2 linked regions of the Rhinolophus ferrumequinum genome follow. The protein of the gene in region 2 purifies or fractionates together with the protein of the main gene of each other region. This does not show direct contact. Links are inferred from orthologs where the notes say so. Each region holds a gene or a part of one and is shown on either strand. Other genes may lie near its edges.

Evidence for each region.
Region 1: the proteins of TNS2 (region 2) and SNTB2 purify together in Homo sapiens (affinity purification with mass spectrometry; 4 studies listed by BioGRID and IntAct, with this or other methods). This does not show direct contact. The link is inferred for Rhinolophus ferrumequinum from reciprocal best matches to the Homo sapiens genes TNS2 and SNTB2.

What each region holds. Positions count from the first base shown.
Region 1 is NC_046298.1:18,363,503-18,371,233, reverse strand, and holds the start of SNTB2 (beta-2-syntrophin), read right to left. Parts: upstream 3,211-7,731; 5' UTR 3,190-3,210; coding exon 2,610-3,189; intron 1-2,609. UniProt on the Homo sapiens protein: Adapter protein that binds to and probably organizes the subcellular localization of a variety of membrane proteins. May link various receptors to the actin cytoskeleton and the dystrophin glycoprotein complex.
Region 2 is NC_046293.1:53,007,864-53,015,676, reverse strand, and holds the start of TNS2 (tensin-2), read right to left. Parts: upstream 3,309-7,813; 5' UTR 3,143-3,308; coding exon 3,011-3,142; intron 2,398-3,010; exon of another isoform or gene 2,088-2,397; coding exon of another isoform or gene 2,013-2,087; intron 308-2,012; coding exon 199-307; intron 1-198. UniProt on the Homo sapiens protein: Tyrosine-protein phosphatase which regulates cell motility, proliferation and muscle-response to insulin. Phosphatase activity is mediated by binding to phosphatidylinositol-3,4,5-triphosphate (PtdIns(3,4,5)P3) via the SH2 domain.

The sequences.
Region 1 (7,731 bases), on a different chromosome or scaffold from region 2:
CAAGCTTCAATTTCTCCCTCAACCTTTTCCTGGGCATCCTCAACCTCTGATCCCTAATAGGGTCACCTATAGATCTCTCCTTCCCTTGTGCTGTGTCCTTTCCAGAGTTCTATTACAACAGTCCTTTGCTTTAGCCCTTTGCTGTACTTATTTCCTATCTCAACTCCAAACTCTCTGAGAGCAGGAGGTAGGTATCTTCGAATGTCTCTGGTACATTGTAGAGTTGGATAAATGTTAGATGTATGAATAAATAATCCCTATAAATCCATGAGATAAAAAGAACCCTTTAGCTCAGTTCCCTAACCACAGGCCAACAGAGACTACAGCTTTCCTTTGCTTGGGGGTGGCAAGGGCATGCTTGACATTCCCTGCCCACACCACAAAAGAGCATCACCGTGCTACGTTAAGGCAGTTTTTCAAATTTTGAGACATCTAATGAAAGGAGAACACAGATCCAAAACTTTAAGAGCTAAGCATAAAATCCATCTTCCAAAAGTGGCCTACCTGGTTAGGACAACAGCTCTCAATTTTAAATAGTTTGACTGGTTCAATTAAATCACTGTTTTCGGTGATTTTTGCTTATTCTAAGTAATTTTATTTTTATATCCGTTGGCTTGAAAGCGCAATTTCATACTTTCCTCCACATATAACGACAAAAACTGCTTGTTTTTTCCAAAATGGGAAAATAAAGTAGAACCTGTGTGCTAGGAAAAAAGGTATTCAGTAAATGTTTTGCGGCCGTTTGTAAACCCTTCTTCTAAAAGCATACGTGGCCCATTTTAGACTAATGAACACCGGGAAACATTTACTGGATGATTTTCATTTAATTGGTATGAATACCAGGTTCAAATTATATTTAAACAAAAACTGGGTGTTTTAAAAATATGGTGTAAAGAGTTAAAATGTCTACCCATCACCACTAAGTACTACATAAATAGTGCTATATTCAATATTCTGGCTCTAAGAATTTATAAGCAAATGCTTAGCTAAGCCCATTTCAAGGTACACGTTTAAGGTAACCATTTTCTTACATATACACCACCTGAGCCACAATCTGTAATTTTACTCCTTTTATTAATACTGATTTCCGAGCAGTGTCTAGCCCTATCTATAAGTGAGATATAAATAAGGTTTATAAATAGGATATTATAAAGGTGGGACACTGGAATTTCAAAACTGGATCACATTAAATCATTTACTTGCAAATTAATATTTTGCCAAATATTATAACTGCGATTTTGAAAAAAGTGAAAATCACTTTGCCAAGCTAGACTTCTGGCCTCTCAGTATGAGGACTGCTCACTTCCTACCCCTACTCCCCACCCCTCCTCAGTTCTTCCTCTGCCAGGAATACCCTCCTGACTCATCTCTGCCTATGTCCATCACTTCCTTGGAGAACTGGCTCAAGATTAAGCTCCTCCAAAGTCCTCTCTGACTAATCCTGACTTCCACTACTTTCTAACTTTGCATTCCCTTGGCATTTATATATATGTTGAACAACCTAATCAATAACTTGTAAGTTTTACATCTTTCTATCATTTTCTCAACTAGAGACCAAATACAGACATATCATCTTTTATATTCTCTTCTATATGGCCAGCAATAATGCTTCTTGAATGACTGAATCACCAATGAAAGAAAGCAAATGGCTCAAAAACTTCTCAAGTAAGCAACGGGCTTTTCAGATCACATTTACAATACCTTTCAATACAATACAATTACAATACAACACTTTACAATACAATTCACCTCCAAAATGCATGAGTCCTTCACGGGGATGAGATTTAATTTAGCCTTAGTTCCATAAATTCACCATAAAAGATCCTGGTTACAGACCACATATATGCTTAAGTAAATAATGATCCTGGTTATTCGAACATATCTTGCGATTTAACACTTCAGGTTTCTAAAGGCTTAAAGCCTTGCAGCAGCACTCCTGCGAATGGTAGGAAGCTGGCATCAGTCTCTTGCAAAAGGGGCAAAACTCTAGTTGGCAGTAAATATTCAAACACGTGAGCCTCCACTGTTAAACTAGGCTCATTAACCACACAAACTTGCTGTTTCAGCTTTCTGGCTTCAAGGAAGTGCTAAGATTTTCTTTGGTTATTGTTGAGAGCCAATGATGGGTTAAATTCCCATAAATTAACCAGCGTTTTGGTGGTTTGCCCAAGCATACCGCTGGCATCGGTGTGGATGAATTTTTAACAGACCCGCCCTCCCAAGGGAGCCAGAGGTGAGTGAAGAAAGCGCCAACCCGGCACTTCTTTAAGGAGGCAAAAGGAGACCTCCAGAACTCGAGTCCTCTAGTTCTTAGTATCAGCTTATTGTGCAGAGGCGGGGCTTCAAGCGCTGCTGCTTTTTACTAAATCTCAACCAACTCTTCTTTAGGGACTGCCACCCACACTTCGGCGGTTGCCCAACTTTTCCTGCAAGGAGTATCAGTTTTTCCATGCTCAAAGCCACAGCAATCCGGGTCTGGGGAGAGCCGGGGCACCAGAGGAGGGAAAGACGAGGCCTTGGAGGGGGAGGGAACGGGCTCGCCCCGCAAAGGGGGCAGGGTGGCAGAAACAAAGTGAACGCCGGCCCGCCCGCCCGCCGGCCCCGCTCACCCTCCAGCAGCACCTCCTTGCCCGCACGCTTCAGCGCCTGCACGGCCTGGTCGTGGGTGGCCTGGCGCAGGTCCGTGCCGTTGACCGACAGGATGGCGTCGCCCAGCCGCAGTGCCCGGCTCTGGTCCGCCGCCAGCCCCGGGAAGATCTTGGAGATGAGGATCGGCATCCGGTTCTCGCGGCCACCCTTGATGCTGATGCCCAGGCCGCCCGCCTCCTGCTTCACCACCCGCACCCGGCGCACGGGAGGCGACGCTCCCGCCTCGCTCGCCGGGCCCCGCGGCGGCGCGGGCGGACTTGGGGGGCCCAGGCCGCGGCTTGGGCTCCCCGGCAGCGAGTCGCCGGCGCCGCCGCCGTTCGGGAGGCCGTTGAAGGCGGCCGCCGCCGGCCCCAAAGCGGGCTCGGCCTCAGCCGCCGCGGCGTCGCCCGTCAGGCTCAGGCTCTCCCCGCTCAGTTCGGCCACCACCCGGACCCAGCGCTCCCTCAGGAGCAGCTCCACCAGCCCCGCTTTGGTGGCCCGCGTCCACACCGCCATGGCCGGCCCCGCTCCCGCCGCCGCAGTCGCCGCAGCTACCCTCATTCCAGTCAGGCAGCCTCAACGCTTCCCCCTTCCCGCCCGAGGGGGCGGGTCCGGCCCCTCCCCTGTAGATTCATTATTCATGAGAGACCACGCCCATCCCTGGAGGGGCGGGGAAAGGAGCCACTTCCGGGAGGTTAAGGAGTTGCTCGCACAGTCCGGTCGGTTGCGGCTCACTGGACGTGGGCTACAGGAGGCGGCGGGCTACATCTCACGTTCTCCTGTTCACCTCCGACGCCCCACCCCCCCAACTCTTGACCTGTACCGTGCGATTGACTTGAGCTGCCTTGGGCACGGAAAGCAAGATCAACTTCGAGAAGCACTTTGCAAGCCTGCAAGACTGGGTTGCACGTTCATTCTTGCATTGATTGGTTCATTCCGGATTTACTGAGGGCTCCACCGCTGTGTTCCTTTTGAGGCTTAGAAATGAGCTGAGTAACATGTACCACAAATGAGAGTTAGCGGTCTAGTGTGGGAGGAAAGCGAAGACCCAACCAACCTGGTGTGATACTATGTGGTTAGATGACATATAGAAAACGCCCTGAGAGCAAAGTAGAAGAAACCTTCAGTTAGGTCTGGGGTCAGCTTCACAGAGGTGACAATGGAAGGTGAATAGGGGAGCAGAGGAAACGGCATAAGCAAAGGTCCAGAGACAAGAATCTGCTTTGTTATCACCTGTTACTTGCCTGTAATAGGTAGAGAGGGGACCGTGTCTTCTTCAGCCCTGCAACTACAATAGGTAGGCCTCAAATATATTTGCAGAATGGTGGTTACCTAGGAAGATGCCAAGATTCCCATGTGAACAGAGCATAGGATCAGTGGAGTCAGCAGGATGAGTGTGAAAAGCCTCATATAATTAAATATCAAAGAGTTTGGGCTTGGGTTTGCAGATCTGACTTTTCTTATCCTGGAAGCCGTGGCCTTTTGTTGGGGCAAATGGGTGGCTCCAGAAACTATGCAACCTGCAGAGCCTGCAGCAGGTTTTTCCCCCAGCTTCATGGGCTGGAAGAACTGAGGAAACAGGCCCAGGGAGCCAGAGACTCTGGCTTCAAGTCCACAATGAGGAAGCAAACTCAGTCAGGTCTCCTAGCTTCCTGGTCCAGTGCTTTTTTTTTTTTTTTTTTAACATAACTCAGATCTCAAAAATGAGCGTCCAGAAATCACATTGCTCAAAGATCTCAGCAAAAAACGTGAGATCAAGGTGCCCTCTAACTTTCCTTCAGCAGTAAAAGCGAAATCCCCATGTTTTTATGGGGGGAAAAGAAGGAGGGCTGCAAGCAGAGGGAGTGTACACCAATTCCTGTAAAAGGGGCTGTATACTTGCTTGCTCATGAAGTACATGTTGAAGCTCGTAAGCCATGTCCATGCACCACTCTGTAAATGCATATCCGTGTATGGGCAAAACTTCCGATACCAGGAGTTAAAACAATAAAGAGAGACTGGAAAGCACCCAGAGCCCAAATGAAGAAAATTCAAAATGTGAAAAGTATCTCACCGAAAATATCATTACAGCAGAATCCTCTTTGCAATTAGTGGAGCAGGATTTTCCAAACTGCAAACATCAGCAGAAGCTCAGTCCTCCAGCCCTCTCCTAAATCGACTGCAGTGAGGCCAGCTTGCTGTTCTGGCAGGTCCTGATGTGCCAAAGTGACCCTATAGTCATAGACATTTCTGGCTTTGCTCCAGCTGAGGTGTGAGCCCCCCGAGGCCTGAGTTATGTGACATTTCTGCTTTTTACAGACCACTTGGCAGCTGAGTCCTTGGGGTCTGAGCACTATTTTGAACACTTTTATATATGTAACCACCCAGAGGTTGGGCACTTGAGGATACCTTTATTAGCAAAAGGGAAATGCTGGAAATTCTTTCCAAAAGTATCAAGACCTTTAGGTCAATAGAGTTGGAGGAAATCGTAGATCTTCTAACCAAATAATAAATGAAGGCACTTATATAAGACAATAGTTATGTAACAAAATATTTAACCCTGGAAAGAGAGAAGGTAATGAAGATTGGTATTTGGATTACTTGGAGGTTTTCACTTATTTTTAAATATATCCATAAAAAATTCCCAAACTATCAAGATGTTTTTACAAGGTTCTCCATCAGAACCTAAATTAATTTTCAACAATCTCTTTCATCACTACTTTTAGATCAGCCAGACTCATCCAGTGTCTCCCAATGATGCCTTGCAAATTCCCACCTGAGTCCATCCTTCCAAACACCTTCTGCCCCTTTCAGCCACCTTCCCACCTAGTAAGATCTCATCCCAGTTTTCCTTATCTACCCAATCTGTTGGGGTTTTTGCTTTGAACAATTTTATGCCTGGCTGGTTTGTCCAAACAGATGTTAAAATACAAAAGGGCAGGACCACCCACCGACTTCTATTTATTCCCCATTATTCCAAAAATATTGCCTTGTAGAAAAGGAACTCATAAAACATGTGATTGATTGAAATTCAGTGCCTCCTGCGCAGTAGTCATTTCAAATAATCCCTCTGAAGGTTACTGGTTCCTTGCAGAGTGAAAATTACCATCAAGGAAATCTCAAGTAGTCAGTGGAAATCTATTTATGGTGGATAATGAAATCTGAAATAAAGAGTACACATGGCCTCTTTAAGGACGGTGAGAAAAGCTTAGAAAATTTTTGAACAGGACTGTTATTTTATCTACCTCTAAAAAGGAAATGGTTGAGATAATTCCCAATAACCTTCCAATCCTGCCATCTATCAATATGGGTTCTCCTCTGTTCAAACTGTTATCTTACTTTTTCTCAGAACAAGGCAGGGATCTTTGTTGCTTTAAAATGAGGGGGTTAGATTAGCTAGCTTCAGTTCCATAATTTCCTACAATTCTACGACTCAGGCTCTGATTCTAAGCCCTCTCAAAACCCAATGTTTTTTGTCCTTTTCTCTCATAGTCGATGCATAATTTAGCATGGCAACTAAGAGCACAAGGTTCAAATTGCAGTTTGGCCACTTACTAGGATATGACAATGGTCAAGGGGCTGAGGACATCGGCCTTAGTTTCTCCTTTGGAAAAATATTCAGGTATGTTCTACCTCTAAAGGTGGCTGACTGGGATGACGTGCAAAGCACGTAGCAGCACTGCCTATAAAAACGTAGCTGCTGCTGTTATTATTACCTGTTGATCTTCAGCTTCAGCATCAATAGTAAAACCTTTGGTAGAAACTGAGAGTCTATACTTTATCTAGGAATGGGTCTACCATGATACCATTTGATTCCAGGCTTAAAGGGCAAATGGCCAAATTAATTTCAGTGACAAACAGATCTTGCATAAAACTACACTTTGGCTGAAAGGGAGTACATATTGCCAAGAGTCTGTCAAAGGAAAGAATTAGTAGATCTGGGGCTTGGTCCAAGGTCTGAGTGTTGTGTAATTTCATAAGGAAGGAGGGCCCCAGGCAAAATTGCAGCCCTTAGCAAGCCTGAAGGTCACTACCACAAAGGTGGCCTAATGCCAGAGAAACAAAAGCAAGAGCCACTCAATTACTACCAAAGAAGAGGCCGAAGAGAGAAGTTTGTAAGATAACAAATTCAACATCCAACTTTGAAAAATTATGCATGCATAACTCTTCCCCAGTTAGAAGACAGTGAGATCAATTGTCCTTTTCAACAGGCAGTACTCCTCTGCCTTCCAGAAATATCCTAAAATGTTTTTCTCCAGCACAAATATGAAGCGAAAAGAGGGAAAGATGCATATATCCTTTAGCTGATGCAAGCACATTTTAAAATTCATCCCGCCAAGATAAATCACTATCCATTTGAAACCCACAAAAATGGATTAACTATCTCATGCTTTATGACTATAAAAACCCACATCTGCTAACCACATTACTAATGAGAAGCAGCTGGTGACAGTTTTGTAGCTCTGTGACTTTCTTTTTAGGAAAATATTAGCAAGGACACACTAAGCAGAAGGTTAGTTTCATGGAATCCACTTAGTTATGGAAAATTACCAGTGTTTTTTATTGACAATCATGGAAATTACATAATTTGCCATGAAATTCAAATGAGATCCCAAAATAAAAACTTCCTCACCCCCAATATCAGTTCTAACAATTTCCAGTACCTCGTAAGACTTGCAATCTTATAGTCAGCTTCAACTCTGATTTTTCATATACCATCGAACACCAAATCATGTTTATTGATGCATATGATATTTCTAGGCCTTCGTCCCACAGCTTTAACTTCCTGCTGAGTCAGTTAATGGAATAGCCAATTGCTGGGATCACGGACCCCTTTCAGAATCAGCTGAATGTTATGGACACACCTCAGACAAGTGCACATTTGTGCAAAATTCAGCATTGAAACTTCAGGGCTCATAAAGACCCTAAAGCCCTTCCACGGACTATTTTATGGCTGAACTGTGTCCCCTCAGACTTCATAGGTTGAAGCCCTTATCCCCAGTACCTCAGAATGTGACTGTATTTGGAGATAGGGCCTTTAAAGAGGAAACTAAGTTAAAATGAGGTCATTAGGGTGGGTCCTGATCCAATAGACTGTTATCCTTGTAAGAAGAGATTAGGACA
Region 2 (7,813 bases):
TACAGGATCTCCTGGGTTGCTGGGGCATTTGTCAGGGGGAGCAAGGGCTGTTTGGAGGGGAGGCAGCAGCCTCTTGGCTCCCACATTGCCGGTCCAGGGGCAGCATGCACATTACGGTTTCTGTTCTGTGCGGCTGGAGTTGTGCAACACAGTGGTGCTGGGCAGAGGCTCTCGGAGTCCCAGAACAGGGTGCCTCACCTCTGCATGAGACGCCTGTCCCATCGATGGTCACCTTACACACTGCACAGACTGGTGGTTTCTTCCGGAAAACCTTCTCCCGGAAGCTATGTGGCTCGGCTTTCCTAGGCTAGGTAGGGGTGGAGGGGCAGAGACTCAGACAGGGGTATCTGTTCCCAGCAGACCCATCTGGAGACTGGGCCAGTGCCTTAGCACCGCACTGGTTCCTTTCTTCCTCCATCCTGATTAAAGTCCCCAAATGATTAATGTCCCCAAACCCGTGGGACACTTGGCCACTGCTGTTTCCGGCCAGTTGTGGGGGCTGTCCTCAACAGTGCATGGAATCTGGCCTCTTGCGTCACCCTCACTGGGTCAGCTCCTCCCCAAGGGATCAGTTAGGCCCCTCACGTGGCTCTGGTGTGTGATACCCTTGTGGTCACTGCCACCCCAAACACAAGAACTTTCCTCTTGGTGGGGGGGCACTCTCTGATTCTCCTCTATGAGGGCCCCCGTTTCTCCTTCAATTTTGCCCTCCCCGATGGAGGCCCTTGTGCAGAGTGAACAGCAGGGGGTCCAGACAAGAATGTAGGCTGTCAGTCACAGCACCCAGACTGACTGATGGGAGTGGCCTCCGTCAGTCCTGATCCCCTGGCTCCTGCTGTCCTGCTCTAGGCAGCTGACATGCCTTCCTCACCCCCACCCCCACCCCCAAGAACAACATGTTTACTCATTGTGCACTGAGGCGGCAGGCAGCAGTTGTGTAAGGAGGTGGGTGGTAATGCTGGAGGGAGAGGCAGACAGAGGCATGACATTGGAGAAAATATTTAGCTGTCTTGCTACTTCTGGATGTAGTGAGCACCCTGTCATTTGAGGACATTCAAGTGAGGATTCCAGCATTGAATGGAGTAGCGGGGTGGACCAGATGCTGGGCTGGGCCCCTCCCCACCCAGAGGTGCAGTGAGGCAGGAGGCTGGGATGCCCCCTGAAGGCCCAGGCCTACCTCACACGCAGTCCCACGCCTCCCACTGTGATTCACTCCTTCCATCCTGTCTGGGGACCATTTTTGCTTCCTTGCCTCCTCTCTTCTACCCATTTTTCTCCACCTCTGAAGTTCAAGTTCCTGCCCCATCCCCCTTTTATAGTAGTGTCTCATGTTGCCCTGAGCTGCTGCTTTTGGGGTAAGCCTGAGCAAGTAAAGAAAGGGAGTGATGGGGTCTCCAGGCCCCCCCCCCCCCCCCAGGCCTGGGGACCCAGGCCCCACCTCTTGTCTCTTGGCAGTGTCCCTGACGCAGCTAGATTAAGCCAGCAACTGAACTCTCTTGTGCTGGACCAACTGTGCTGGACCCACTAGGAAACTTGGGTACATCTAGCATAAATGGCATATACAGATGATGTCAGTGAAAGCAACCCTCCAGTGTCTAAGGCACTCCTGAGACCTGGCCACGTCCCTCCCTTCCTTCACCACCCCCAGCCCCCCATTTTCCCCAAACATCTTGGCTCAGGGAAGATGCCTGATCTCTTAGCCCTGCTCTGGGGTTCCCAGGATGGTACCCAGAAAGGTCCTACAATGAAATGTACCTGGACATAGGTGTAGGGGATCAGGACCCCCAGAGTTGGTATGGGCTAGGGCAGGGAGGTGATAGAAGAGCCAAAACAGACCCCAGGTTCTGCTCAAACCCAAACTTCTATGGTGCATACCACAGCCCTGGCCACCCCAAAGAGGCAGAGTAATGAGCAAAGGGAGAAGGCTGAGGTGGAGGGTCTGGCCTGTGTCCTGGCCCCCTTCCCCACCTCCACCCCTGCCCCGCCTCTGCCCAGCTGGTGGGCACTCCTACCCTGCTGGTGGCCCGGCTGCTGTCCCTCCTCCCCAGGGCTCTGAGCAGCCTCTCCACGGGGCCGCTGGACTTCATGGTGTCCGGCTGGCTGGGGTGCCGGCCGCGGGGCCCGAACAATGCTGGGGCCTGGCCCGGGGCTTCCTGGAAGCGGCCTGGCGGAGGCAGCCGCTTCCCCTGGGTGGAGGGTAGGCTGTCTGGCTGGTGTGAGGAGAAGCCCAGCCCTGGAAGCGGAGGGGAGTACAGGCGGGAAGGGGGCAGGTCGCTGCTCCAGGAAGTGGGGGGAGGATGTGGCGGAGGCCAGGAGATCAGATTCCCAGGATCTACCCTGCTGGGAGTGTCAGCCCAGGATCCTCTGACCCCGCAGCCCCGCTCTGGGGCTGCCCCAGGCCCCAGGAGCCACCCCATCCAGGATCTGCTGGGATCCTGAGATCCAGCCCCCGGTGGGGCGGGACAGCGTGGGGGCAGGGTGGGAACTGAGGTCTCAGGGCAGGGCTCAGGGACCAGTGGGGAACACCGTGTCCTGGCCAGGACAGCCTCCCAGTCTGAACCCGTAGGCTCTCTGGGGACTTCTAGTGGGGAGGGAGGGGAGCTGGGACTCACTACGCCAGCCAGCCCAGGACTGGGAGTGCATCCTGAGGGTCAGGGAGAATGGGACGGAGGGCCAGTGTCCTGCCTCAGTTTCACTGGTTGTGAAAGTAAGGAAAGGAAAACATGCACCTCTCCCCCCTCTCCCCATTCACACTGGAAGGCAAATTGCAGCCAGAAAACTGCTTTGCCCACAGGAGTGATCCATTCTCCTGCCACAGCCCAAGGCATTTGAGGCCCTTCTCCTGAGAGCCTGCAGCTGCTCTGCTCCTGACACATTCCCCTCCTCACTCATTCCCTGGGCTTGTTTCTGCTTGACCTCTTAGACCCCTAGCCCCTCTTTGGAGCCGGCCACTTAGGCCCTCCACCTCAGGCCCTAGGGCCGCCCTCCTCCCCCAAAGCCTGAGTACTACCTTCATGGCTCTCCTGTCTCTGCTCTCCTTCCTCAGCAGCTGTCCCAGGACCTGAGGACTGGACAGGAGGCCCCCCTCCCAACACATACTCCACCCCCCTCTATGGGCCTCCTGCCTCCCTCCTGGGAACATGGCCAACTTCCTGTCCGGGAGTCAAGGGAAGGAGGAGGTGGATTGGGGCCTTGGAAAGGGGGGTAGGAATCTTCCGAAAATTTAAGGGGTTAATGGCCTGGGGGTCCTCAGCCCCAAGCCTTGGACAGCAGCCCCTTGGACCAGCAAGAGCTGTCACTTGAAACAATGTGCAAATATTCCTCTTTCATTTGCATGGTATTTACTGAATGTCCCAGAGCTCAGGCAACTCCCCCAGCTCTGGCATCTCCCACCAGGTCCTTAGACTTCCCTCTCCCTCCCTCGTGCCCTGCCTTCTCTGGGATGAGCCATCTTATGGGAGCTCACTGAGGACACTTCCCTGGATCTGCCTGGGCTTCTCCCTTGATGGTCTAATTCTCCTAGCAGGTCAGGAAGTCTGTCCCCAGGGTACCTTGGCCAGAGGGAGGCATCTGTGTGAAAAAGCTTGGGCCCCTGGCCTGTAACTGGAGAGGGGCACTGGCTCTGCAACCCACTCCCAACCCACCAGCTCTGGCTGGGTCCCAGGACATTCCAGGCCCCTGGCCAGTGTGGGCAACTGGGCCTGGTGTCCAGTCCCCAGCCCTGCTGGGGGAGGAGGGGCACTGTGGTAGGTTGGGTGGCCTTTCTCTGTTCCTATTGCACATACCCTGACCTGGACCCCTCCAGATGCTTCTTTCTACTCCTGCTGCCTCCAGAGGGGCTGAAAGTCCCCTCACCTAGCAGTCACCCTCATCCTCTGACCCTCACTCTTCTGGGAGGCTCACTAACCCGGGTGTTGGGAGGCCAGGGAAGCATGGCTTTGAGACCCTCCCCACCCTTGGTACACCTCTGAGGGAAGATGGAGACAAGAGTGCTGATCCCTCAGCGGTGCTGGGAGGAAAACGAGCTCACTGCGGCAGGGCTGGGAAGGCATGGCCAGACCCCCAAGGACCCTCGCCCTTCTCCTGCCTGGAACATTCCAGAGCCTGTCAGCCTCTCCCCCAGGCTGGCCCCCTCACACTCCGAAGCCTTAGGTTTGTTTGGAGAAACCCCTCCACCCACACTCCCCCTTCCTGGAAATAGCTGTGGTTGGATGAGAGGCTGGGAGCCCGGCCGCCACGGAGGAGGGGTGAGGCCCAGCGAAGGAGAGAGGGAGGAAGGCGGGGTACATGGGTGTGCCCAGAGGGAGCTGGAGAATTGAGAGTAGCAGCATAAGGGGGCTGACGAGTGGGCTGGAAAGTCAAATCAGCCTCATCTGTTCCCGCTTTCTGCCTCAGTTTCCCCAGATGTGAAGTAGAAAAGGAAAATACGCAGACGCACTCCCAGGCCAGTGCCCGCGCGCGGCCGCCAGTTCCCGCCTGGCTACAGGGCCCGCATGTGGAAGAACGTGCCCCACTGTACTCGAAGAGCGGCGTCCGGTGCGGGGCGCGCGCGGGTGCGTGGCGGGAAGGAGCAGCACCGTGCCTAGGCGGCGTGTGCGCACCAGGGCGGGCGAAGGCGTGACGGCCCCAACTAGAGTGTGACCGCGGCCTGCGCCCCGCCCCCTGGGCACCTTCCCGGCAGCCAGCCGTCTCAGTTCGCCGCGGCCCGCCAGATCTCCGATCACCGACCCCAGCCCGGCGCCCGCCCGCTTCCCCTGGAGCCCCGGCGGCCCCGCGCCCCCTGGCGACCGCCCCCGGCACTGCTCCCCGGCCGTGACGCACGAGCCGCCGCCCTCCCGCTCCGCGCGGCGCGGCCACTCACCTGCGGGGGGCGCCCGGCGGGGCGGGGGCGCGGCGGGGCGGGGCAGCAGCAGGGGGAGCCCCCGAGCCAGCCCATCCTAGCCGGGCCCGCGCCGAGCGGCCGCGCGGGAGGCGCTGGAGGCGGGAGCGGGCGCCGCGCTCCTGGGCTCCCTCCCGCCCCGCCGCTCCCGCGCCGCACTCTCCTCCCTCCGGCGCTGTTCCCCTCCCTCCTGCCCCGCTCCAATCCCCACCTTCCGCCCGCTCCCGCCCCCCGCCCTCCTCCTCTCTCTTTTCTCTCCCCACCTTCTTCTGCGAACCCCGCTCATAAAGAGCTGAGAGGAAGAAGGAGCGCTGAGACGCCGAGACTCGGAGACGGAAAGAGACAGATGGGGAGAGATTTTGAGCAAGGTGGACACCAAGGACACAGGGACAGGAAAATCTCAGAGATGGGGAGTGACCCAGCGGGATACAGGCCAAAAGAGCCACACGAGCCAGACAGACTCAGAAGAAAAGGTGGACATAGGTCCAGAAGGCACTGGAAACAGAGTACAGAGAACTGCCTTGGCTTCTCTCAGCCGGGCCCCTCCACAGGAGTGTATTTGAGATTGGGCCCTGTGGGGCTAGTGCCACCTACCCATGGGGGCACTAGCTTCAGATGAAGATACTTGGTGTCACTTGTGGGTTCCAAGTCTCTGGACACTTTCCCTGGTCCTCTGCCTCATGGGAGGCTTCTCAGGTGTCACCTATTCTCCCCAAAGGACTCATACTTGAGGACCCCCCCACTCATCACCACCACCAAGCGGGTCGTCAGCCCATCCATCGCCCTGCTTTGGAGCTGGACAGTCACTCCCACTCCCTAGGAGATTTCCGTTAAAAAGTCTTCCTCACAACTCTAGTCCCAGGCTTTCCAACGAACGTGGAAGTTCATTCTGTGGTCTAAACTTATTCCCATCTTTTGCAGTGTCTGGACTTAGCACGGGAATAGAAACTTCCTGGAATTCAGCTAATGGGCCATGGGTCTGGTTTGAGTTTGTGCCACCCTGGAGGGGAAGGTAGAGGGAATGGATGTCTTTCTAGAAGTTCTGAATCTTTTCCCAATCCCAGCTTCCCCAGTGTTCTTTATCAGTGAGCACTTCCTGAAACTTTCTCCCTCCCTTCCCCTCCCCACTAGATTTTCCATGATGAAAACCGGGGGGGGGGGGGGGGGGGACGGGGGGGGGGGGGAGGTGTTTGTCTGAGGAGCCAGTGCCCAGGGCTCAATGCCCAATGCCTGCTCAAAGCAGCCAGTACCCTCAGCTCTTAAGGCCCTCCATCCTTTCTGTGCTCATCTTGCCTTTGGCAAAGGCTGGGAACTCTGCTTCTGATTATGAGGGGTGGATCCCCGATTTCAATAAGGCAGTAGGGAAAAGGCTATGAAACAGCGCATGGTGACAGTGTGGGTCCCCCCAGAGACTGGCATTTGGGAGGGGTAGATGTGGCTGGGACTGGGGAGCCTTGATCTTACTGCTCGTGTGAGTTGGTGTCCAGTAGGCAGCCTCAGAAAGTGCAGCAGTCACTGGAGTCTGGAGGAGGGGCGGGGAGGTTGGAGTGGAGCTGGGGAGGGAAGAGGTTGGGAGGAGAGGAAAGGCTGGAGTTAGGAGAGCAACAGGGATCAAAGGCTACTGGGGTAGGGGCAGGGCTGAAGGTCATTCTATGGATTTTGACAAGATTTGATTATACTATAATCAAGATGCAGGATATGAAAATTTGTTCATTTCTTTGGAGTGTATGCTACTTCTTTTAACACTTTGCCCTTCTCAGAGTTCATTATGTCTTTGGCTGGGCCCTGGGATACATGCTAAGGGGGTAGGTTCTAATCTCTCAAGGTACCAAAGGAGAGACTGGGGGAGACTCAGAGAAGAGGCACTTGATTGGATCCCAGGACAGTGGCAGCGTTAGAGCCTCACACAAGCTGGCGTTGTTGCCGCTAAAGAAGAACCCTTTTTGAGATTCCAAGGAATTGAGAGGGTCACAAGATGGGCAGCTGAACTTCCAGCTCAGACTTGATGCCTACTCTCAAGTGAGGACCAAGGCAGGAGGGACACTGAAGAGAAGTTGAGAGTGAAACATTATACAGGAGGTGGCTTGGGAGTGAAATAAAAATGAGTGGCACATGGAGCCAGCCAGGCATCCTGAGGACAGGCAGGTACAGAGAGGAAGGGGAAAGGGAGGGAAGCCAGGGTAATGTTAGTAAAGCTCAAAAAGAATCGTAGGAACACCCTCTGAGCCTCCATGCAGGTTTTCTTACCTTGACTATGCAGAGGGCAGCCCATTTTGGCACGAAAGGCTGAACCCCGTTTTTCACGGTCTGGGGTGATCCCATGCCTGTGACCGAATGCGCTGAGATTCTCGGGTTGGGGGACTATAGGAGGGCACTGAGGGTCGGAAGAGCACTGGGTCAGGGAAATTTCAGTAGAGGGTTGGGCGCTGGGAACCAGGAAGAGCAGGGGAAGGGGCCAAGCTGATTCGAGGCGGATCTCCTGGCTGAGGACTGTGCATTGTCCAACTGGGAGGCTGCTGCAGCTGGGCGGGGAGCAGCACAGCTCGCCTCTTCCAAACTCCTTTTTGGTGAGGTGGGAGGGTGAGGGTAGACAAGTCCTCCCTTCATTTGTGGCCCTAGGGGCTACAATGGTTGCTGAGAAACAGTATTTTATTTGAGAAATAATGCTTCCCAAGAGCAGATGTGTAGCTCTCCCACTTCCTGAGAAACCAGATGCTGTGAGCTCACTTAGCACTTGAGGTGATGCCCTCAGCACAAACTGGGACCCTTGCTGTCTTGGGATCCAGAGCCTAGTGCTTGATTCTGTTTAGAAGAAACTAGGCTACGTGGCCTGTTATACAGATGGGACCCAACTAACCTTAAGTTCACCCTTGTGAAGTAGGATGCCATACCCACGACCTTCTGGTCGCTCGAGATTTACCGCAGGTTGTATCA